Linked DNA regions of Oryzias latipes. The protein of the gene in region 6 interacts with the protein of the main gene of each other region in a pairwise test. Links are inferred from orthologs where the notes say so. Each region holds a gene or a part of one and is shown on either strand. Other genes may lie near its edges. The genes, in order: exosc10, poldip3, otud4, transcription factor AP-4, dusp23 and exosc8.

Region 1 (3,500 bases), on a different chromosome or scaffold from region 6:
TGGTAGGAAATGTCAAGAGCTTAACCTTCACAATTCTTTATTTGTGCTTTGGCAGAATAATAATTTATTGCTTCTTATTCCAGTATTTACCTTCCACCGATGTGCATGTCAACAAGAATGCCAAGTTTGACCCATCCTCCAAAATATTTGAGGTACCTGAAGAGCTTTTTTGTGAAATATATTGACCGCTGTTGTTTTTAATGTGCTTTGCTTACTTTGGCACCCTGACAGATCAGCAAAAGGTGGAAACTGCAGAGCATTGAACAGCAGCAAAAAGAGTTAGAGGCTAAGCAAAAAGCCAAAGAGGAAGCAAAGCAACAGGCAAAGAAAGCCTCAGGTAATTGGCTTTTCTTTTCTACACATTACCTTTTCAAGCATTGTTTCCTCACTTTTTATCTGTTGAATTCTCTCAGAGAAAAGAACGAAGACTAAACAAAGCTACCAGGAGTCTCTTCAGAATGTTGCCACTGTGCGTCAGCAGGCAGCAGTAAGTCTTTTTACATTTCCTCGTTTCTCCGTTCATTTTGTTCTTTTGAACTTCAGACAAGCACCTCAGGTCTGTGTTGGAAGGCATGGCATATTCTTTTAGCTGGATTCACTCAAGGGCCCGCAACAGCGTTGAAAGGACAGTAGGTTTATGACTACTTTAACTCTGTGTGATACTTTATATTTTCCCAAGACAGTGAGTCCCCATCAGATGAACGGGTCTGCAGAAACACAGAATGGGGGCCATGTTAAATATTCTATCCTATAGAGGAGGAAAAATGTACAGCATGTGGGCTGGGTGTTATAAAAGTGTCTCAGATTCATTGGACACATTTTTGTTCCTCTTGAGTAACAAAGCCTCTTTTCTAGGAACTAGCAGCCTCCTGCTGCTAGTTCCATTCCTCAGGGGGTATTACTTGGCTTCCTTTTAGTTAGTTACTCGCACCCCCGCTGTCATATTAAACTTTTCTGATTTCTTTTCTTTCCAGTTTAACACTTCAGTTAAGCCTTTTACCACAGAGCAAAGCTTTTTGTCCAACTGCTACAGATAATCCTGGTGGTCATAAATCAGAAAATTTGGCAGCTGCACTTGAATGTCACAGGTGTTACTGTCCAGACCAGTGTTTTTCAACCAGTGTGCCGTGGGAGATGGTCAGGTGTGCCGTGGGAAACTACCCATTAACTGATCTAAAAACATTTCCCATCTCCAGGATATCAGCTCTGTGTTCATCCAAACAGGCCCTGATAAAACTGAGTAGTTAGGAATGTGAAAGATCGTAAAAGACTTTTACTTTGTGTTTATTTGATTCTTTTAAAGACATTTTGCTAAGAATGACGGTACCGTGATTTAGCCGTAGCTTCAGCTCTGTTTTCGGAAAAGTCCCACCCCTTTAACTGTCTCCACCAATCATTCTTGGAGGCTTAATCATACGTCATCAGTCTGACCAATCAGAAGTGGTTAAAGTCCAGACTTCCTTGTCCCGATTTAGCTCATAAAGTCTCTCAGTTCCAACAAAAATACCAGCTAAAGCTCATCTTAAGCGGTGTAGCTTTCTGCACGATCTGCTGTCAGACCGTGGAGCAAGTGAACAAAACAATGAAGCTCAGAGAGTGTCTGCGATCGGCGTCTGTTTCACACTACACCTCCCATGATGCATTGGGTTAAAGTGACAGCGTCTCAGTGAGTCCTCCCTGTTAAACGTCTTGAAACCACAACGAACCCACATCAAACCGTTTTTAAATCTTCTTGATGAAATCAGAGGTCAACAGTTTAGTTCTCCTTCAAGGTTTGTGTTTATTAACATCCAAACATCCCAGAGTTTGGTCCAAGTCATCTTTCTAACTGAAACACTTTTCTAATGAGGTCTGGATTATTTTATATGTCATTCTTTCTAAATCACTATTTAGAAAGAATATATTTCGTTTTTTGTGGGGTTAATTAAAATTGCATGTCAGTAAACTGAAGGGAAAAACAACTACCAGGGTAAATTTTCAAATAATTTAGTTCAAAATAATTACTGAAAACTAACTTAACTTTTATTACATCTTTTAGAAGAAACAGCTGCAACTTCCAGCTTTTTCTGCCACAATTATCACAACAGTGCATATGAGATTGCAGAGAAACTGTACATCAAACAGACTATAGAGTTTCTCCATTTTTCAATTTTGGATGCTGGTGTGCCGCGGGATTTTTTGTCAAGGATAAAGTGTGCCTTTGCTCGAAAAAGTTGAAAAATACTGGTCCAGACACACACTCACTTCCGTCTGCGGCAGCGTTCAGTAAGGATGCATCGATTCACTTTCCCAAAGGTTCAAACCTCGATTTTTAAATTGCAGTTTTTTTTCGGTGTGATATAAACTAAAACTCAGAAAAAACCTTCGTTTGATTTGCTAATAAGTCACCTGACATGGGTAAAAAAAAATATTTTTTTTCCCACAAAATAATAATTTGTTCCCACACAGTAGGAATTTGTTCCCACAAAATATTTAAATATTTTACTTCAAATCTCGTAATGTTATTTTTTTTGTTTTTGTGACACTAAAACTCTGTTGAAGCCTGAAAGTTTGATGAACACAGAGCTGATGTCATTGCAATAGTGAATGCTTTTTACACTGATTTAGGTGAAATTAGATAACTTCCCATTGCATACATGATGATCTTTCATGGCATACATGTGTACCGCGGCACACTGGCTGAAAAACACTCATCTAGGAAACCAAAGAAGGGCCATAGCCGATGACGTATGTGATGGACGCCAGCAGAAGACGGGACCAATTTTATTTAGTGCTTTCAAGAATACCTGTGTCCTAAAAGAGAAAGAAGTGTAGATGATTTAGTTAAAAAAACAAGCCAAAATAAGAACAGAATGGAAGGTTGACCAACATTATGAAAAAACATGGATGCAGCCGACTCGGCTGTACAGATTGTCTGAATCACCGGCTCCCTTGTCAAGGCTACCTAATTAAAACTACCCAAAAGAACCAATAAAGCTTGTAAATTATAACAACCAGGGTACATACAGTGTGCCACCTGTCAGCCACTTGCAAATATTGGCTGTTAGCACACTAGTACTTTCAGCTAGCACCTCTTTGCCGTTCGGCTCTCATGGCTGGTTTTTCAAAAACACAGATTCACTAATAGCTCAGAAATCTGTTCACAGGCAGCACTTGTTTTGTTGTCCTTGTTGTTGGTTTTGCCACCTGTTACATGAAGGCAAACCTCAAAGGTGAGATGTAGCTCACAAAGCTTCCGAATTAGATTAGGAAGAGAATAACAGCCTGATTTTTTTTTTCCAAAACGTTTTATTCACAGTGACTGTTCTGAGTGTTTTACAGATGCACAAACGAAAATATTTTTTAAAAAATTAACCCATTACGATGAAACAAACTTGGCTAAGCAGCATTTAACAAATAAAAAAAACAAAAAAAATCAGAAAACCCGAATTCCCACCTGAAATTTGTGGTCTGGAAGAGTTTTCTAACATTTTAAATGTTTCTCTATGGTCCACTTGTGT
Region 2 (4,110 bases), on a different chromosome or scaffold from region 6:
ACTGACCGGTAACCCCCCCGCGAGAAACTGACCTTCATGGTAGAATCATAGAATGACGACATAAAAACGAGGGATATTTCGGTAGAACGTGACGTGGGGATTCAAAAAGTCGGTTGTATGGATTTAAAGCTAAAAGCGGCACGCGCCTAGCGTCTGTCATTCAAACACGTAACCGGACCGCTTTGCTGACGATCCGTTGGAGTCCAGCATCATCTTACCGGGCAGTTTGAGGGCGCGGGACAGAGCCGCTGCCATTTGTCCTGTCCGCCAGGTTCCGTTGCGAGGGAGCTGTGACAGGCAGCTACTGTGCTGTGCACATCTGATCTGTTCCAAGCACGGTGCATCATGGGAAATTGAGTTAAATACCCTCGCAGGCATTGTGCGGGCAGAGATAATAATTGTTTTACAAAAAACACAAAATTGGGGGGGGGGGTACATTGAATACGTCATAATCTCATTTTTAAAAATGGATTTACATTAAAAATTGTAAACCAGTTAAAACTAGTTAAAAGAAAGTCAATAAATGAAACAATCATAACTTGAAAGAAAATTACCATTTCCCTCAACTATTTCCAGTGTTAGATGGATTGTTAATTATCATGAATCATCAATGTGTCTGCATCTTCGATTTAAAGTACATGTATTGAGTAATTATGAAAATAATGTGTTTAATAGGGTTCCGGGTCGGGTGATATGAGTAGTTATATTTTACATTTGGGGAAGGGTAGGGCAGACCCCAGTCCCACGAGGCATCTCGCGAAGTAAGCAAGTCACCTCAGCAGGCAGGCCTGTGCCCCGTCAAAAATTCCTCTCGTATTGTGAACGAGGATACGGGCGTCACCCCGCATCGTTATTTTCCTTACTCATCAGTTTAAGGCATACTGAGACAACGTCCTCACAGCAGTATAGACACAGTGCCAAAGAACTCTCACTCATGGTTTTCATGCTACCAATGTAAACACAGACTTAACATCGACTTAAAATGTTATATAATAATAGCTCATCAATATGATCGACGATCTAATACATTCCGTAGTCAAGAACAACTTTAGATACACATGCATTGGATTTCAATGCAACAGCGCAATGGTTTGTGGGTAAACTATTTGGGCGTGTGGGATTTGTGCTTAAGGTATTTGTACTTTAGGTTCTTTCCTGTACACTATACTTCAGCAAAATGTATCTTAAAATATATTCACTAAATTATAAAGGAAGTTTTCATTAAGTACAATTAAATTTAGTTTGAAATTTTGATGTTATAAACAATATTTGGCATGAATTTTGGCCTAACTCATTCCCCGTAGTACTCCTTGCGGACAACTTTGTCTTGAAGTGGCGCATGCGCATAGTCAAGCAAGAAGAAGAAGATGGCAGACGTTTCTTTGGATGAAGTCATACGTCGGCGCGGTATTAACCTCAAAGTTCCTGTTAAACGGTACCTACAAACACTTTAAAGTAAAGAAAAAAATAGAAGTTTATGATACTAAACAAATATTGAAATGTGTAAACGCAGCATGCACATTGAAAGCTGTTTGTCGACCAGTGAGCACCGAAAGCTCCAGCTCGCATCGTGAACGCTAAGCTAAAGTAGCATTATTGCTGTGGGCCTTCGGATAATAAGATGTTAATCTCACGTTTGGTAATAACTTAGAGGTTATTTAACCAGAAAAAACACTTGTTAAGTTTTGGTAGTTATAAGAAAACGTAAAAATGAAAAGAATTGTTTCGCTCTTATGTTTGGTGGATGTGTGTAGTTTGGTAGTAGTTGTGCTTATAGCGAAGCGGGGTTTCTCCTCATAACTCTTAAGGCATGCAGTACTGTTTAACGAATGGGCTCTTGTTTACTTACCTGGTTCCTAGGTATAAATCCGTGTTGTTTGATTGCTCAGTTGGTGCTGGATGGCCTTACGCAAGCAAAGTAAATAAGTAAAGTAGCTTTAAGCTGGGTAGCCTCGGACACGTTAGCAAGGTTTGGCTAACGTATAGAAATAATTTACGCCAAAAGATATATAAAAGTAGCTATTAATTTTACTTTCACAATTGCTTTTTTCCAACCACTAGTATTTCGTGTAAGTTTGGTCAGTGATGTCTTTTTGTCTAAAAAGTTATTCCCTTTTCCTTTCTCCAATGAATTTTTTTCTTCTGATGTGTTTCATTCTCTTGTGGTATTTATTTTATCTGATGATAAAGGACATATATTAAGAAAATTAAGCTTAAGTTGCTGCATTTATGAGGATTTTTATATTTAAATTGTTGTGAATCAGGAGCAGACAAACAAAGGTTGTTGCAGTGTCGTAGTGGGCCACAAGCTCCCTGCTGTGCTCCATTCTGATGCATCCACTTGTAGACAACTACATCCATGTACGTCTTCGTTTATCTTCATCCAAGCTGGCTCCTGGCTCAAAACTGTACGACTGGGTAGCTTCAATTTTGCTTACCATTTTTGATACACCGGGGTGTGTGAAAGGCTGTAACTTAGTGGAAGTGAGTGTAAAGAAGCTGATGATGGGAAGTGGGGCCTGGCTTACTTCCAGCCAACAGTCCAGAACACAACTCATAGGGGAATTTCTAATAAACTACTGCTGCTCTGGAGAAAAGGATGTCCCAGAAAATGACACAGGTTATTTGATTTTGGCTAATTACAACATAATCGTTACTAAAAGACGATTGGGAAGGCTTTTACAATAGATGGAAAGATGATTGGAGAGTGATTGGAGCCAAATATAGACCATTTTAAAGAAAGCTTTTTTTTTACATCCCATATAATAGTTAACTTTAGTTGTTGTCATCAATCTAAAATATTGCTTAATTGGTTTTGATTTATTTTATTACATTTATAGGGTTTCTAATGTATTTTTGAAATATTTTCGAATTTCAAAAGATTAAAATTATTACTATATTATTACTAATTATTTGTAATATGGCACGATTCACTTGCACACCAATTAGTAGCAACTGTTTCTTCCTCTGGTGTATATGCACATATAGCAGGCGTATGGTCATGTGTAAAGGGATGCAGAACAGATGAAGCCTGCCCACTCGTTATTTGCAAACAACCTTTTTTTTGGTGAAAAAATTTTTTTTTGGTCCTTATTCATTCTAACCTTATTTTCCTATTGTTGCGGTTAATCAGAATCTGAACTTTCTTTATTGTCATTGGGGTTAAAATAATATATAAAAGTCAGGATCTGACATAAAGATACTATTTAAAATATAAAATACAAAACAAATGTAGTACACTTGTGTGGGATTGTCATTTCTAGGTTGTGCTGTTTGTTGACATGGCTCATCTTGTCCTCAGGCCTCCATTTGGACGGGGTTTAGGAGGGGATGGGAAAAATTTTGATGCCAGACAAATCATTGGAACAAGTGATGTGAGACAGCGGCTTGGCGTGGGAACAACAAAGGGTAAAGCTCATCTTAATGTTTGATTCTTGGATGAAATGTTTTTTCCCAGATCCTCTAAAACAAACATTTTCATTCCAGGTTTTCAAGTAAAAGATGCCAGAGAAAAACTTGTCCAAAAAGACGCCCGTTTTAAAATTCAGGGCAGGGGAGGTGCATCAGCTGTGCAGGACGCCCGGCAGATGATCACATCCAGAAAGCAGGGGCAGACGCTCTCCAGCATCCCTGCACAAACGACGCTAAAAGCAGTGATTTCACAGCAGCTGCAGAGCAAAACTCTGGTTCCTCCCATACAGATTCAAACCGTCAGTCATTTTCCTGGCATCAATGCGCGGCAGTTTAGCTCTGCTGTACAAGGACTGAGTGCAAGAGGCATCACTGCACCGCAGCTGAGCAACAATGGGAGAGTGATGGATGCTCGCGACAGGCTGAGCCTCAAGAGGAGCCTTGGAGGAACGCCGACACAATCAGCCATGGCTCCACCTCTAAAAATTACCAAGACCATACAGGTGAGGGGCCGTTGTTTAGATCGTGAGCAGATTTGAAGCAAAGTGACATCAGGGGTTCCCACAAATCACTCAATGGTTTCCTCTTTTTTTTACATTTCATTTTGATTTCTGGAAATTACTTTTACTTTTCTGGAACCTTTTTTTTTTTCTTCTTTACAGAAACTGGAAAAGGTAGATACTATGGGACATTGCTGAT
Region 3 (4,080 bases), on a different chromosome or scaffold from region 6:
CTCTGTGGCAGATTTCCCACCACTTTCCCCCCCGACGCTCGCGGTTTCCTCTGCGCTGACCCAAAAAGAGGAGCATGGAGTAAAACCTGCTGCTGGTTTCAGTCCCTGCTGGTTTGCAGGCGTGTAAACATAAATCAAGTGGGAAACTAAAGTCAACACAACCAATCAAAGCCCGAATGAGAGCGCTGCAGGTGTGGAACATCAGGAACCAATGAGAGCCCTGCAGATGTGGAACATCAGGACCCGATGTTTTTACATCAACCTTCAGTCCGTCACAGCATCAACATCTGAACCCAACGGGACACAAGACGGAAATGCAAACGAGATGAAGACCCCTAAACTTAAACAGTTGGTAGAGCACCGCCCCCTTGTGGTGAGAAGAGGAGCCTACAGCCTCTCCCAGCATTTTTCTGCTTCAAAATGCTCCACAAGGCTCCCCGATGAAAGCAGCAGCAGACCAGAGGTCACGTCCCAGACAATGTCAGCCAACACCCAGACGGTCTGCCTCACAGCGCCACGAACGCTCGGCAGCCAAAATCAATGCTGCTGCGGCGCACAGAGGTGATGAGGATGAGGATGAGAAGGCTTACTGGCCCTTTGATGGAAACAAGACCAATAAGAACCAAAAGGAAATTTCTTGATGCTTAACTTTTACTCTTTTTTTTTAATTATCAGACATTTGTCTGCTGGATGAGACTTAAGGCTCATGGTGACACGTTTGAAAACGTTGAAAGGGAAGAAAAAAAGACTAAATATATTTGTAATTTTTCCAAAAAAAACAGACAGAAAAAAAGAAGGGAAATGAACTTTGAATTAAAACTTTAGATCCATTTATTATTATTAGTAGTAGTAAAAGTAATAGCTGTGATAGAAGTAAAAAATTATTTTTTAATGATTTGGTGTTTCTGCTTTTCTGTGTTTTGACTTTAAGTGACATGTTTAGTAAATCAAGGAAACTAAGTCAATACATTTTAATATAACAGACTTTAAGAGGTTACAACACACCCAAGGTCGCTCTTTAAAGTTAATTTTCACGTTTTTCATTCGTTTTTCTTACTGTTTGCATGTTTTTATGATCCCTTCTTGTTGATGCACCTCTCACCATCCTGTGAGGGGTCACCACGGCGAATCAGCTTTCATGGATTCGCACAGGGGAGAGATTTTACGCCGGATGCCCTGCACGCCTATTTTTGAGACTTTTATTTTGGTAAGCGTCACCGGATGTTTCAGAGTTGTGAAGTGGTTTTACTTTAAACTCATTTCAAAAGCTGTTGCATTCTAAATTGAGTGGTTATTTTTTATAGAATTACAAAATCGGACGTTATTTTTCTTATTTTTTTGAACAAAATCTTTTTAAGTGTTTATTTTATGTGATATTCTTCGCTGGTTGGGCTTTTATTTCGTGGATAAACCGGAAGTTGGGCGTGTCACTGCGCAGTGCTTTACTCGGCAGAGCAAAAAGGGGGCGTGTCGTTAGCCGTTAGCCCCCCCGATGCTAACCTCGCAGCATTAAGTTTCACTTTCTGCTGGTCGGGAAAACCCGCAGTTCGAAACGCCGCTTCCTCGGAAACGAAACCTGCGGCGGTCGGAGTCGCGTTTGACCGCTTCCGCCTCCCAAATGTCCGCCTTGGAGCTCGCGCAGCGGCCACATTCGGAGCTTTGAGCCCGCGGCGCGTGAAAGTTTTGCCCCGCCGGCGCAGGCGGCGTCGTTCAGCCGCTAGCTTCGGCGGCTAACCCCGCTAGCATGGAGAGCTGCGGAAACATGTCGAGCAGCGAGGAGAGGAGTGTGGAGAAATCCATGGATGTCTACCTGAAGTCGATCGGTCTGCACCGGAAAAAGATCGCCAAAGACGGCTCGTGCCTGTTCCGGGCTGTGGCGGAGCAGGTAAAGTTTGGAAAAATAAAACTAGTTTGGCTAAATAATAATAATAGCAGCTGGAATTGTTATGCTAACAATATGAAGAAACGTCCACTGGAACTTGAAACACTGACGTTTATGTACTTTTTTGTAATAATGTTTGCGGCAGTAAAACGTATTTTAAGCCGTGAAAATGACGCCTGTCTTCCTGTGACCTTTGACCCCGTCCAGGTGCTGCACTGCCAGAGCCTCCACCGTGAGGTTCGAGCTAAATGCGTGGACTTCCTGAAGCAGAACAGAGACAGCTATGAGGCGGTACGTGACCCGCAGCCCCCCAGGCTGCTGCTGGGCTTTGGTTTAGCCGAGTGTGACGTCACAGCTACTGACAGTGAAGGAAAAAACACTGTAAATTTAAAAAACAACTACAGACTTTTAAGACAGCTTTGAACTGTAAAGTGCAGATTGTAAACTGAAATAATTCGCACCATAAGTTCCCTCCTCTGACGCCGTCGTCGTGGTGATGATGCTCTCCCAAAGTTTGGGACATCAGACGGCGGAGGATGCAGGCGGCGCCGCCATGTCCATTATGTTCTAGTAGCCAATGGGCTCAAAGCCCCGCCCCCACGTCAACTGAGGATCAACTCCCAAAATTCAGAACTAAATTGAGGATAAAAAAATACAAAGCAACAGATGTTATTGAAAAAAAACAGTTTTTTTAAATCTAGTAACACTTTTAGGTTCATTCTTGGTTTTTTCTGTTCAAGTATTTCATTACTTTTACATTTTCACAAGTTTACCACGTTGAGTTTAAAAATGTTTTTAAATGTAAATAAAAATCTATTTTTGATCACTTTTGACCCCAAAGCTGAATCCTGCAGTAAAACGGCATAAATGCACATTTTAGCCTCCAAGAATGTGTCTAGAATGAAAAATATGCAGTTATGAATTCACAATAATATTTGTGACCATCAGGTCTGTTTCCCTCTGACTGTCTGATGTTTACTTTTCCTCAAATATTGAAAAACAGGAAAGAAAGAAAATAAAAGTGTTAGTGACACAATATAAAAGAAGAAAAATGAACAAATATACCAGAATAAAGTCAGACATGAAAAAAATCAAAATGTTACTAAAATAAAGCTAAAGAGGGTCATAAAATCAAAGGTCTAATTTTATAAGAATAAATGCATAAAATGATGAGAGTAAAGCAGTGACTTGATGCTTCATTAGTCATCGTTTTTCAGGGAAAAAGTCGTTCTTTTTTTTAAAATAAAATGTTTTGTTAATGATCATTAAACCTGTTTAGTTTATGTACGGCTGAATCAGCTTCTCGTTTCTGTCAAATTCCTTTTAATAACTATATATTTTTAAAGTGTTACTTTTTCTTGTAGAATTCAGTCTTGTTAATTTAATACATTTACGATTTTATTCTCGTAAAGGTTTTACCGTATCTCATATACTTATAAAAAGTTGTTCTTGTTAAATTTAGCTTTTTTCAATTTTTTCCCTATAATTTTATGATCTTATTCTCATCACATTTTGAATTATTTCTTATCATTTTGCTACTTTGGTTTGATGATATTTTGACTTTTATTCATATATTTTTTATGACTTTATTTCTATAATTTAACAACTTTAAGGACAAACGTTGGCATTTTTTAAAATTAATTTTGGGATTTTGTTCTCATCAAACGTTGACTATTTTCTTTTATAATATTATAATTTTTTCCCCTAATTTACCAACTTTATTTTCATAAATCTAATAAATTTTCTGTTTTAAAAAACTTTAGACATTTTCCTTTAACTTTACACATTTATTGCTGTTAAATGTTGACATTTTTTATGTTGTTTTTGGTTTTATTGTCATATTTTCATTTTCTTCTCTGGTGGCCCAAAAACTCCGTCACAGCATTTTCAGATCTCACGTTTTTCACTTTGAAATGATGCCGCTAAACGCCTCACATGAAATAAAAATGATTCTTCTGTCTGACGATCCAAATGTATCATAATTAGAGACGGAGAGCATCAGGAAGTCATTGAGAACGGCGGTAAAAAGCCTATCGTTGAGTTTTAAACCGTTTAAAGGAAAAGAAAGTCCAAATCTTCTGGTTTAGGAGTCTTGAATAAAAGTTTTCTGGTTCTGAAAACCTCCTCAGTACATTTCTGCTGTTTGCAAAGATCCTTAAACGTTTGTTAAAGTTGTTTTTGATTGGATGTCAGCCTGA
Region 4 (4,243 bases), on a different chromosome or scaffold from region 6:
GATCTCTCTGCGAATTCGCCTCTCTTGGTCCCGGGCTGTTTCTGGGGTCAGAGGAATGTTGGCCAGGCTGGAAGAAGGAATAAAGAACAAAGTTATTAATTGATATTGAAAGTTTTAAAAAATGTATAAAAAAAAGCCAGGATGGACTATTGTAAGGCTATTCATTGTATTTAATATCATCAATCAACTTTGATGAAAAATGTTGTGTGCATGAGTTGTTTTAGTTTTTAAATACCACCTAAACTTCATTTCAGATCTGAGGAGTAGTACTGAAAATTGTCGGAAAGGCCTTCCAGACCTTACCCAAGCGTGTCGTAACCCTTGTGCTATCCTAGGCACTTTAACGTTGGGAGTTGGGTCATCTAGACCCACTAGACAGTGCGCTGAACCTTTTTTCTTCAATGGTTTGTGATCTTCCCTGGTTTCCGTGGATTGCATTAAATCTCTCCACCTTTATCCACCTTTGTCATGGTAGGGAGAACATGTCAATGTAAGGGTGGGGTCATCTAAGGTAGCACAAGGGTTAAAGCAGCAAACATGTTGAAATCATGTGGATCGTGTCTTTCCAGGGAGGTCCGACATACAGCTTTGGGCATTCAAATAGGGTCATGCAAAGTTGATTAAACAGTTAAACTGTGGAGAAAAATCCTCCAATCCCACAAAGAAAGGATTGGAACGGTTTGAATGAAATATTCTAATTCCTCTATTAACCAACCTCAGGGACTATATTCTGCTGCACTCTTATCTGCAGTGACTCAGCTGCCTCAATGCAAACACAGGGAACAATTGTACGCACACAGATGTAAAAAACTGTATTTGAGTATGCTAAGTGTGCAACGATACAAACACATGCAGGAGTCCTGCACCAGCACATCCAATTAATTAATTCAGTCAGAACGAGAGAAAAAAAACTGGGCTTAGACACGTGTGATGGTAAAATTAGAGAAAAGTTTCAATGTACCAAACAAAGGGTCATAAAAGATACAATTTATATTACTTTTATTAAAAAAATGAAACACTTTTGAAAAAATGTGTTAAATTTGTCACAAGATGACTACTTTCGGAAATTTTTGTGACCAAATAGTGATACCAGTCAGGGCAGTATTCAAATGTAATTAAACTTTATTTATTTATTTTATCTAAAAAACGAAAATATTTAGGAAAAATTCAAGGAAAGGATAAAGACTACAGTTTGGTGCTTTGAAATACCCTTTGTAATTACAAATGTTGAGATAACATTAATAGTCAAAACCCACCGCATCATTGTTCAAGTACAAATGGCACAAATTATAAATATAACGTGTATAAATTTATCCCCCCCCCCCCCCCCCGGTCTTTTGGCAAATCTCCGCACGGGTACTTCACGGATTGAAAATAAAAGACTCCATTACCCACAATTCCCGCGCTCTGCCAGCAACAGCTAAAGATCCCTCCGCCTCCCTCTACACACTGGGCTGCGGACGTATCGACGGGCCTTCCGCGACATACACACCCCCTTATTAATAACACCAGTTTTAATTTTCATGCCTCCCCGCGAACGACAAATGCCCTTTGCCGGACGCATGTGGGGGGAAATCTGTCTTTGAAGGCCTTCAATAGTGCCCGTTCTCAGGAATGTTCCCCACAACCTCCCGCTCCGAGCAGACTTTTCTTGTCCTCCGCCATTACAACAATGCGGCAGGCAGCATGGCAGAGGTAGTTACGGGATGAAAAAAGACGCAGTGGAGGCAGCGAACAGGACGCGCTGCTACACAAACTCAATCACCACCTATTAAAGTAACAAGGCCGTAACAAGAATTGCCAATTTGCACTAAAAGAGCGGGCAGTAGTCTAGGAATCATAACGATACCAACGGCAAACCCTTCACTTTTAGCTGAAGCCACAAGCATGGCCGCACTACCCACAATAACTTCGGCTTGCTTGGAGCGAAACTGGCAACCGCCACGACGAGGGCGTCGTAAATCAGCACTTTCCGACAACAATGCGGTCGCTGGTCCAATATCTCGTGTTTGTAGGATACACCAGCACATTTAGGCGGCACTAAAAGATTATTAGAGGGTAAATAAATAGTTGAGGGATGCGCTCTAGAGGGGAGTAGCAGCGTGGTGTGCACGAACCACGTGGTTAATGTTTGTTAGCTACAAAATACTTCGATTTCAGTGGTAAACGCGCAAAATTATTCCACATAAGGGACACTTAAATCAGGGCGAGAACCTCCAGGTGTCCGGCGAGATGATAATCCCTGCTTTTGAAACACATTCACCCCCTCGTGTCCCCGGGAGAGGGTCGTATACACAATAACACATCAGATCAGGCACGTTGCCCAGCCCTAACAACATGGCTAAGTGCGCGCACTATCTTCACGCGTACAAAAAAATAAATAATTTGAAGCGCATGTGTACACACCTGCAGAGACCACCAATCACCTCCTTCTCCGTTTTCCGAAAATGTTGCAGCGAGGGCACCTTCTGAGCTGGTACCATGAAATACTCCATGCTCCCTTCTCGCCAGTTTGGTCCCCCCCTCCCCCGGTAAAAAATAAAATAAAATTATATAGTATCCTTTGAAAAAAAAAAGCAAAACGCTGGGAAGAAAAAATAGTCCCCCGCCGGTATAGTCAAAAGACAAATCCCTGGTCGGACTGATACACTTCTTTGAGGTTGCTGAGAGTTGTAATGTTACTCGACTTCCAGCTGATGGGGTTCCCTCGTTGTGTGTGTGGCGCTCTACATCTCTTTTTCTCGCTCCCTCCCCCTTGCTTTCTCCCCCTGCATGGCCGTGTGTGTAGATGTGTGTGTGCGCGCAGCTGATCGGATGGCTTTCAAGGCGGGAAACAGCTGGTAGGAGTCACACACCGCACTAGAAAAAAAAGCTCCTTCCGCAGAGAGGGGGGACTGCGTGTAAACAAAGGACTATTTATCGCACTAACGCCGCGTGAAGAACGCACGCGCGTTATGAAAAATGAATAAACGTTGTTTTAATAGACTAATAGATACATCATATTTATGACTAAATGCTTTCATGGACATTTGTTTTTCTTTTTACACGTTTTTCTTTTTCCACGGTTTAAATCCTTTAGAGGAAATTAAATTTTGGTGAAATAAGTTTGATCTTTTCATAATTACTCATTAATGTGCGGTAGAAATGACTTTGAGTGTCACCTGCGCCCTGATTACGCCGTTAGAGCGGGACCACGCAGGGGCGGACACTCGAACAGCTGCGATAATCGAACAACAGAGATCAGCTGACGAGCTGGCGGCGCCGCGCGCGGCAGGGGGAGGGGTTTCGGGGGACAAGCCGGCGGCACACGCAGCACACGCATGTACTTCACCATTTTGGCTGCGAAGAGTCATTAAAATCTAATTGAGCGAATGTGTGTGTGTGATGCAGCGGCGCGCCCTCGGCGCAGGCTCAAGATGGGAGCTGAGAATTTCGAGCGGCATCCGGAAACGTGAACGCAGCAGCAGCTGCTGCAGAAATACGAAGGCGTTTACGTCAGAGAAGGACTTTCAGGCATAATAATGTAGGAAAGGCACCCTTAATGGTATTAATAAAAACATAGAAAACACAGTAAATGTTTTATTCTTCGAGAAATTTGACTCAGAATAATAAAAAGTAATTTCTGTAATCAAAACTAAGAAGGTAAAATAATTAAAAAAAAGGAAGAAATTCGATAAACTGTTAGGTTACATGGTGCCTCACGAGATTTGTAGCTTTTATAGAATTCTAAACACATCAGTCTTATATCACACATCAACATGAATCTTTTTTGTGGGTAAGATGAAAAAGAATGAACATAGGTCAGCTGCAGGGTGCATGGATAATGTTTACACTTAAATAAAGGCAAACACATTTTAAAATCCGTAAACCATTTATAAGTACAGTTTAGTGAAGATAGTCACAACATGACTATCCTGCCAAGATTTAAATTACTACTACTACTACTATTAATAATAATAATAACAATGTAATTCTACCTTTAAAGAGACGTTCTGATGATGTTATGATGTTCTGTCATCCAAATCTTTGCAATATGAATAAAGATGTGTTTTTCAACTTTTAAGTTGCTTTTCATTTCCTCATTAAAGATAGTCTTTCTGGAGAAAGCAATAATAGAATAGAATATCTTCATTTCTACAGCCCTTCTCACAGAAATAATCACAAAGGTAGTAAATATTAACAAGGCCTGCTAAAAGTACTACTGAATGAAAAGTTAAAAACATAGTAAAACAAGGACCATAGT
Region 5 (4,020 bases), on a different chromosome or scaffold from region 6:
GCTGAGGAAGCAGCAGAGGCTCCTGGCGGTGGAGCGGCTGCAGCAGGAAGTGGAGGAACTTCAGAAGAAGGAGCAGCGGACATCCCAGGAGAACGACCGACTCCGCCGGCTCAGCCTGGAGCTGCAGTTCCAGAGGAGACTGCAGGAGGCTCAGAGAGGGGAGGAGGAGGAGGAGGAAGAGGAGGAGATCCTGAAGAACGGGACGTCACAGGTCCAGGTGAAGATGGTCAACCTTTGAGGGTTTTCTGGTCGTCTTCACTTCCAGACCAAAAAAATCATTAAGTCAATAAAAATGAACAATTTAGAGCCTAATTCCAGTTTGATGCAACAAAACCAAGGAAAGTTTTCAAATCTCTAACGTGTTTGAGTTTCCTTCATCATTATGTCAAAGAGCTTCAACATGGATTCTGTCTGATGGTTCACAGCAGAACGGTTCTGATCCAAACAAAGACTGCGAGCGGAACCGGGAGGAAAATCCTCCAAATGAAGACGAAGCGACGTCAGGTGAGAACGGTTTAATGGGAACCGGCTTCAGAAACATGAACAACGTTCTGGTGTTTCTCTCAGGAACTGGACTGAAACAGAACAGAACCAACGACCCGACACCAGCAGAGTGAGTCCATGGAAACATCAGCACCACTGATCCTGAGTAAAAAACATTTTTTCAAAATAAAATTCAAGTTTTGTTTTCAGGAAGGAGAGACTGTGGAGGAGCTCGGCCCCGGAGAAGCTCCCCTTCAGGGAGCGTCAGCGCCTCTTCTCCCCGCCGTCCAGCGCATGAGTCCAGAGACCACAGCAGACGGACGGCGTTCGCCGCCTCTGACAGGACGTCTGAAACCCCAAACCAGAGCTCCGGGTCGGATCACCTGTTCTCAGGGGGCCGTCCTTCATCGTAGAGGAGGTCACTTGATGCGCTGATAGAACTGGACCACCGCCTTCTCCTGCTCCGTGGTTTCGATGGACCCGGCTCTCATCCTGCGGATCTCGTTGATGGCGTCGATCCCAGAAATCTTGCGGCTCTTCACAAGGTAGCAGGCCAGCATGGTGCCGGTTCTGCCAAAGCCGTGCATGCAGTGGACGGCCACGCCCTGACGACCAAACACACAACCACTGAGCACGGCACACGCCCAGCTACGCTTTGTTTACACACATTAAACATTCGGGTTCCACCAGACGGAGGAAGGGAACGCCTTTATGCGGTCACAGAGAACGAAGAGACAGACAGGAACCTCCTTACCTCCTTCTTGGCGTTGGCCTCCTCCACGATGGACAGAAATCGATCGATCTGGGCCGGCGATGGAGGAGTGAAGTCGACGATCTTAATGTGGTGAAGCTGCAACTCTGGAAAGGCCTCGTGGTTGGGAGGTTTCCTCTCGCAGAGGCAGACCAGGTGTTTGATGCCGTTGTCTGAGAGATACCGGTAATCGCACGGCATCCGGGGCATGGCCAGCCCGGCCAGCCGCCCCGCTTCCACCCAGGAGAAGTTTTGAGGAGGAGACGAGGCCATGAGGCTGAGAGGAGGGAGGAGGAACCGAGAGGCAGCTGCAGGAAGCCGTCCGTGTCCGTGGTCGGCCTTTCCTTCAGCGCTTCCGGGAAATGATCCTGAACTGTTGGGAGGAATCTGCTGATAAACATTTGGACTTTGCTTTCCAGGCACACAATCTCAGCTCTGCCAGGTTTACAGAAAAAAGGAACACATTTTTGTGGAGATGTTTCCATTTTTCAAAGTTTAGGCCATAAAAGTCTGTTTATGACTGACAGTATCTTAAATCTGCAGAACTGCTGCTGTGAAGTATATGATAAAAGAATCAACAAAAATATTCGGAATAACCTAAAGAAGACATTTATAGGACTGTACCGGAAAATACATTAAGAAGAAAACTTAAATCTTACTGACTGTAAAACTGTTTTTAGAAGGTTGAAACAGTCAACTGCTGCCTCATTAAGCAAAATTAGTTCGTTTTTAAGTCAACAGACTGAGTTATGTTAAAAGTGTAATGGGATTTTTGTCTGTGTCCGCAGAATTTAACTTCTCAAATGGCATTATACAAAGAATAAATAACATTTTAAATCCACCTTTGATATAAAAATCATGAAACCCGATGAGAATGACTGGATAGCATGTAGCTAACAGTTAGCTTGTAAACTCGCTAGCATAAATCGCTGCTTGTGGAGGCTGACAGACATGAAGTCAGACAGAAAAACATCCTCATTTATTTAACAAACCTTAATTATGTTCTTTAAATGAAGTTACTTACAGCTGGAGTGAAGAAAAGTTGAGCTGCTAACCGCTGGGGAAGCTAGCTGTAAACCTCCGCCTCAGTGCAACAGCGGAGGGTTACCAAGAAAGTTTCCCGTCGAGACAGGTTCACACAGGTTAACCAGAGTGGGCAGTGCCCGTATGTTGGTTGCTATGGATACCATTATTATTTAAAGGCGTTGTACGATGACTTAGTACAGATTTAGAGATTTAGTCCGCCTGGAAACAACTTTTTACCATCACAGTACATCTAGTCTTTGAGCTTCATATTAGACGATCGCACCAAGGCTGTATAAGTCAGGATGGCCGAGCGGTCTAAGGCGCTGCGTTCAGGTCGCAGTCTCCCCTGGAGGCGTGGGTTCGAATCCCACTTCTGACATTACATTTTCTCCATATATGAAAACCTTTTTATAAATTCACTTCCGTCATTATTGACCTGAAATTTGATTTGTTTTTACCATTCAACTGTTACTATTAAAGAGGGTTTCATATGTGCTCAGAAAACCCACCAAGGAGCACATTCCCTGCACGTAATTCTTCTTTGACTGCATTATGAAGATTTCTACATTTTCTGTCTTTTGAATAAGCTTGTTTTTAAGCATAAACAATAAAATCATTTAAATTTCTAACACAGTTGAAAAGTATAGTGGACAGGTTCGATTCCCTCTTGTAATTACCTTCTTTTAATCCCTGCAAATAAGCTTTTGTGGGCTTTAAATGATTAGAATGTCATAAATGTATTCCTGAATTTTCCTTTGTATTGAAATTCCTTTTTCTATGGAGCCCCAAATTGTTCATAATTTAAAAGATAAAAGTGACCTCGTGCAATCACACAATCAACCAACAAACCCCTCATAAATTCATGAAAAGGTCATGAAATTGTGAAAAACCTGCACATATATTTTGAATTAGCCATTATATTTTTAAATTATTTCATTTTGCTTTAAAAACCTTGTCCTTATTTTAAAACAGCATTTTAAAACATTCATTTTTAACAAGGTCATATTTATTTTATTTTTATTATGAGCAATTTAGAGCTCCATACATAACAGACATGACCAGCAGATGGCAGCAAACGCATTTTTACCAAATATTCAGACTGATTTCATGAACATGTGTAGAAACATCTATGACAAAAGTTAAAACACAAAGTCTGTGGATTCCTGTGAAGAACATGAAGAAAAAAACCTGTACATGTTTAAAATAGAAGGAAATGTCTGCTTGTTGAAGCAAGAATCACCAACGTAAAGTAGCGACATTCCTTCCTCAGAAAAGTTTTCTCCTGCTGTGCAGCGACGCCGTTTTCCTCTGAAGGACGATCAAAAGGTCTTTTTCTCCTTCAACCTTCTCCACTTTTAACTTCCTGTTGCACATGTTTGACATGAAATGTAAGATTCTTGACTTTTCTTCCATCTCTTTGATCGTTAGACTTCTTAAGTTTTTCTCAGGTCATCAAGCTAAAATGTTAACATTTGATGACGTATATTTTTAGACAGAAGAAACTCGTTTTGGTTTTGTTTTTAGCCCACTTTAAGCTGCTTAAAGCACGAGGAGTGCTTTTTATAAATAACGTTTGATTTGATTTGCATTTTTCTGCAGCATTTGTAACTATTTTCATATTGATTCATGTTCTCAGTCGTATGCATCCTTTTTACATTTAGTACACAGAACGATTTCCTGTTTGTCTGGTTTGTTGATTGATTAATTGATTGATGGGTTTGATTTAAGAGGGGGTGGGAAGCCCATCTATAAAGCCCCAT
Region 6 (4,063 bases):
AGGTTTCTGAATATTGAGAAATAATTTTTTAAGCAGTCTTTGTCAGCAGTTTTATTGTTATTAAAAAAAAAAGAACATATATATTGACAGTGAAAATACAGCTTTTAGATAAAAGTCTTGGTCTGGGTGTCTTTATTGTGCTGCCTTCACGCTGTTTAGAACTTTCTCGATGAGTTTCTGGATCTCTCTTTGTCGTGCTGTTGCTCGGTTGATGCAAGTTTGGAGCTTTTCTGCTGACAGGGACGTCCCACCTGAGGCGCAAAGAACCGGGTTTCAGCTCCGTATGATTGGAGTTATTGTGTTGATCGCCGGAAGCGCACTGCACGGCCTGTCTGACCTGGTTTGTGTAGAGAGCAGAGTCGTTCCTCCTCATCTGTGACCACGCTGAGCCGCGATGTGGACAGACTCTCCTCATCAGCGGTGGGATCTACAATCAGGATGGAGCTGCACAAAGAGCACGCTTGGTTTGTACACATGCTTTCAACAAACCCAGAAAATGCAACAATATCTAAAACGTACTCCTGGAAGATACAAAACGAGGTGCCGACTGGATGTTTGTGAACCGGCAGCTCGTGTCGCTCTTTCAAATCTATCTCTGGTTTGCATGTCGCTTTGTTGACGGTGACCTTTGGGAGACGAGCTGTGGGAAGTGAAAAATGCAAAATCAGCCTGTTGATAGACTCCTTTCGGGGCAATTTTCAATTTTAAAACACGGATTAGTTGGTTAAAATGTACAGAATAACTTTAATTATTTTTTTTTTTTTTTTACTGAAACAATGACGTACTGTTCTTCAGTGCAGCCAGCAGAGCAATGATGCACGCATCCAGAATGTTTCCATCATAATCCAGACACATGATGTCACAGTACAGCACCCAGCAAAGCTGCAAAGAGGATAAATAGACTCACCGCTAGTGAACCAACAGTGAAAACAAACGGCATCAGTCTGGATTTACCTTTCCTCTGTCGATGCACAAGTCCTCTGGTTTGATTATTTCAGAGCTGCAAAGGTGGATGGAAGTTGGTGAAAACCATTGGGAGAAATGCAGATAAACTGATGAGAGTAAAGAGATTGTAGTGTTTTTAATTCTGACAAACCTTTCGATGACATCAGCGATAAACTGGCTGGAAGCTTGGGCCTGTTCTCCTGGCGGGCCTGGCCGAAATCGCGAGGAACAGAGGGGTGGTAGGTCTACATTGGGGACTATAAATAACAGGAAAAGTCCAATGATTGGGATTATTTTTCCACTTAAAAACTTGTGCTTTTCAGTGACAACCCTTGAAGCTAAAAATAGAACAAACTCGTATCCATCATGGATAATCCTGAGCATCCTCTGCCTGCCGTACTGGATGGACAGTTGAGTGCCTTTCCAAGTGCTGCTACGATGACTGCTAAAGGAGCTCATTCCTGTTCCACGACATAGGACTGTTTAACTCATCTTTGTGCCAGAGATACGCTGCATTCATCATTGATTTTTGATAGTTGCTTCTCTGTACAAGCTAAGGTCTGCACACTACTGCTACAAATTTAACAAGTTGGCATCGATAAAGTATCTTTAACTATTTTTATCTATAAAAACTTACCAATATATCCTTTACCAGGAGCTTCCACTGTAGGGTTTGCCAATTCCTGCAGAATAGATCAATGTATGACACAGGAAACAACTTGCTAAATGTACAAACACTGAAAGAAGTGGTGGGGGGTTAAGAAATATTCACATAGATCTGTTTTATTTTTTAACTGTACACCTTTTAAAACAAAGGCATCTGGAATAAATTATTAAGAGTGAGTTTCAGTGTAATAACATGTTAACACACAGCTTTGATGCCACAGATGACTGTTGTGCTTCCCAGCTTCACCAATGCAGAGCCGTCTGCCGTGGATATGGACCCTGAACACAAACCCAAAAGAGAAAAGTGCTCAATGATTGTTGTTTGCTTGTATCATAAACACTGCAACTTTGTGGTGCTTCAATTCACCTATATTCAATGTCGTGGTTCTGAATTCAGACAGCTCGCGTCCATCTGGTCGACAGTTCTCTTTCTATGGGGAAAATAAATAAAGTTTTAGATTCAAATTGATATGAGTGTAACATTACAGCGTTACAGTAAAGTTGAAATATTAATTTCTGGAAAGTTCTTAATTCATAACAGCAGATTTTTAAAAAGCAAACCATTTAATACATTTCATTAAGAGATTTGTTTATGTTTCAACTCCCTGAAATTAATGAAAAACAAAAACGCAATAAAACTGTCCATTTTTATTGAAGATCACATGTTGTATGGCAATCCCTAGTATTGTGAACTACAATTTTAACGTTTTTTTCCTTTTTATTTCTTTCTGTTGTAGTTATGTGAATGTGTGTGTGTGCCATATTTTGACAATCTAATAAAAAAATACATAAATAAAAAATTGGACAAACCAGAAAGCTCATATGATATTCCAGAGGTTCAGCGGTCCTAAACAGTCATGAGGGAAGACAGAAAAGGTAAATGCATGTACAAAATCACGTACGTTTAGTGTTATGTTGATAAAATAAAAAATAAATTCTTAGCGGCAATAAATAGAAACCCAATTTACTAACGGACATAACCTAGACTTTGTGATTTCTCCACTTTGATTTAAAGTACAGCAAATAATTCATTTTCTTTATGTAAAGTTAAAAAGTTAATTTAAACGAAAAAAACGCCGTAAATTACATAAAACCTGAACAACTTTCAGATACTGACTTGAATCCAGCCGCCATGATGTTTTGGTACAACACGTGGGTTTGTGCTACGGCAGCCGCAATGGGGAAAAAACCTCGTCCATGCTGTGCTGAACCTGAACACTTTTTTCTTCTTCTTCTTTTAATTTAGGGACGATAAAGATCCGCTTTTTACTGTATTATTTTTTTGGCGTACCCAAATCCAATTTCCAAAAATATAAGTAACTAATAAAGAAAGTGCTACTTTAAGCTTTTAATAATTTACCATTCATGTTTTATTGTTTTTTGTTTTTTTTCTTCCAGATTTTCCTTCAAGTTTTAAACTGTTCTCGTATTTGGGGATTTATTTATTTCATTACTACTGTCTTGTTGATTTTGTGTCATCTTAAAAAGATATTAATATAAATATTATTTCTATTATATTCATTTTGTTAACACCTGTATTAATTTGGTTTTAAACTACATTAAACCATAAAGAAATGATAAAACTGCATTAACCCTTTTTTACAGGCTTGACAATTTTTAATCTAATTATTTTTCTTTTTCAGTTTTTAGTTATAGTTGTTGGTTAGTCTTTTCTTTTTTTGTCTTTCAGACTTTGACATTGCTGCTTCAAACGTTAGGGTTAGCAATGATCATAAAATATATGCATGAAAAACAAAACCTGTTGTTTGGTTGTTCAAACAAACAAACTAAAAACCTGCTAGTGTCAGTACCACCCCACGCCTGTAAGTGGCAGTATGCATTTCTCGCAGCCTGTCATGTGGAGTTCTGCTTCAAACTGATGATGTGTCGAGGAGTAAAATTTACTTCCGTGTTGCTTTTGTGTACAGCTCTGATTGGAAGTGGAGCTTGAAAGCGTTATGGGCTCATAGAGATTCAGTGTTTATATTTCATATATTTTCGTTTACACCTTTGTTATAAGTTAGAGGGTTGGGATACGGAACGGGACAAAGAAGAAAAGCTAGCTACAGCCAGCCAGGTGTAGGTGTTAGTTAGGAGCTGTAGGGCGACTTATGGAAACATGATGGACTTTATCTGTGAAATTATTCAAGTTCTCGTCGCATTAGCGGCTCTTGGTTTCATTGTGGTAAGTGTATGGATAGTTTTAACATTGTTAGTAATGTAACTAACTTCTTAGCACGTGTAAGATAGCGATTTTCACATGTATGTACTAGTACTCCATGGTTTCTGTGTGTGTGTGTGTGGGTGTGTGTGTATGTATGCATGATGGCTGCATTTTCTTTTATTTAAACGTGTCATATCAAAATAGAAATATTAATATACAATGGAGGGGGAAATTATTATGTAAATACAGCTCCTTAATCGGAGTAAAACAAACAATAAAAAGGCAGAA

The links.
Region 1: the proteins of exosc8 (region 6) and exosc10 interact in binary tests that used the Homo sapiens proteins (3 or more experiments, as listed by UniProt). The link is inferred for Oryzias latipes from reciprocal best matches to the Homo sapiens genes EXOSC8 and EXOSC10.
Region 2: the proteins of exosc8 (region 6) and poldip3 interact in a two-hybrid assay, tested with the Homo sapiens proteins (2 studies listed by BioGRID). The link is inferred for Oryzias latipes from reciprocal best matches to the Homo sapiens genes EXOSC8 and POLDIP3.
Region 3: the proteins of exosc8 (region 6) and otud4 interact in binary tests that used the Homo sapiens proteins (3 or more experiments, as listed by UniProt). The two-hybrid records come from large-scale screens. The link is inferred for Oryzias latipes from reciprocal best matches to the Homo sapiens genes EXOSC8 and OTUD4.
Region 4: the proteins of exosc8 (region 6) and transcription factor AP-4 interact in binary tests that used the Homo sapiens proteins (3 or more experiments, as listed by UniProt). The two-hybrid records come from large-scale screens. The link is inferred for Oryzias latipes from reciprocal best matches to the Homo sapiens genes EXOSC8 and TFAP4.
Region 5: the proteins of exosc8 (region 6) and dusp23 interact in binary tests that used the Homo sapiens proteins (3 or more experiments, as listed by UniProt). The two-hybrid records come from large-scale screens. The link is inferred for Oryzias latipes from reciprocal best matches to the Homo sapiens genes EXOSC8 and DUSP23.

What each region holds. Positions count from the first base shown.
Region 1 is NC_019865.2:9,473,456-9,476,955, forward strand, and holds part of exosc10 (exosome component 10), read left to right. Parts: coding exon 1-2; intron 3-83; coding exon 84-152; intron 153-231; coding exon 232-337; intron 338-413; coding exon 414-487; intron 488-3,500. UniProt on the Homo sapiens protein: Catalytic component of the RNA exosome complex which has 3'->5' exoribonuclease activity and participates in a multitude of cellular RNA processing and degradation events.
Region 2 is NC_019866.2:20,055,970-20,060,079, forward strand, and holds the start of poldip3 (polymerase delta-interacting protein 3), read left to right. Parts: upstream 1-1,310; 5' UTR 1,311-1,367; coding exon 1,368-1,435; intron 1,436-3,301; coding exon 3,302-3,408; intron 3,409-3,486; coding exon 3,487-3,914; intron 3,915-4,110. Other genes in the region: protein FAM234B, read right to left, coding at 219-255. UniProt on the Homo sapiens protein: Is involved in regulation of translation. Is preferentially associated with CBC-bound spliced mRNA-protein complexes during the pioneer round of mRNA translation. Contributes to enhanced translational efficiency of spliced over nonspliced mRNAs.
Region 3 is NC_019876.2:3,217,331-3,221,410, reverse strand, and holds the start of otud4 (OTU domain-containing protein 4), read left to right. Parts: upstream 1-1,280; 5' UTR 1,281-1,744; coding exon 1,745-1,885; intron 1,886-2,089; coding exon 2,090-2,173; intron 2,174-4,080.
Region 4 is NC_019866.2:11,221,437-11,225,679, reverse strand, and holds the start of transcription factor AP-4, read right to left. Parts: upstream 2,801-4,243; 5' UTR 2,496-2,800; coding exon 2,407-2,495; intron 1,003-2,406; exon of another isoform or gene 716-1,002; intron 68-715; coding exon 1-67.
Region 5 is NC_019880.2:1,140,717-1,144,736, forward strand, and holds dusp23 (dual specificity protein phosphatase 23), read right to left. Parts: upstream 2,533-4,020; 5' UTR 2,259-2,532; intron 1,670-2,258; 5' UTR 1,508-1,669; coding exon 1,238-1,507; intron 1,089-1,237; coding exon 903-1,088; 3' UTR 618-902; downstream 1-617. Other genes in the region: afadin, read left to right, coding at 1-217, 426-617. UniProt on the Homo sapiens protein: Protein phosphatase that mediates dephosphorylation of proteins phosphorylated on Tyr and Ser/Thr residues. In vitro, it can dephosphorylate p44-ERK1 (MAPK3) but not p54 SAPK-beta (MAPK10) in vitro. Able to enhance activation of JNK and p38 (MAPK14).
Region 6 is NC_019872.2:10,272,755-10,276,817, reverse strand, and holds exosc8 (exosome complex component RRP43), read right to left. Parts: upstream 2,801-4,063; 5' UTR 2,746-2,800; coding exon 2,729-2,745; intron 2,459-2,728; coding exon 2,422-2,458; intron 2,043-2,421; coding exon 1,979-2,042; intron 1,891-1,978; coding exon 1,817-1,890; intron 1,629-1,816; coding exon 1,583-1,628; intron 1,203-1,582; coding exon 1,097-1,202; intron 1,001-1,096; coding exon 955-1,000; intron 883-954; coding exon 786-882; intron 641-785; coding exon 520-640; intron 445-519; coding exon 338-444; intron 252-337; coding exon 133-251; 3' UTR 37-132; downstream 1-36. Other genes in the region: alg5 (dolichyl-phosphate beta-glucosyltransferase), read left to right, coding at 3,731-3,796. UniProt on the Homo sapiens protein: Non-catalytic component of the RNA exosome complex which has 3'->5' exoribonuclease activity and participates in a multitude of cellular RNA processing and degradation events.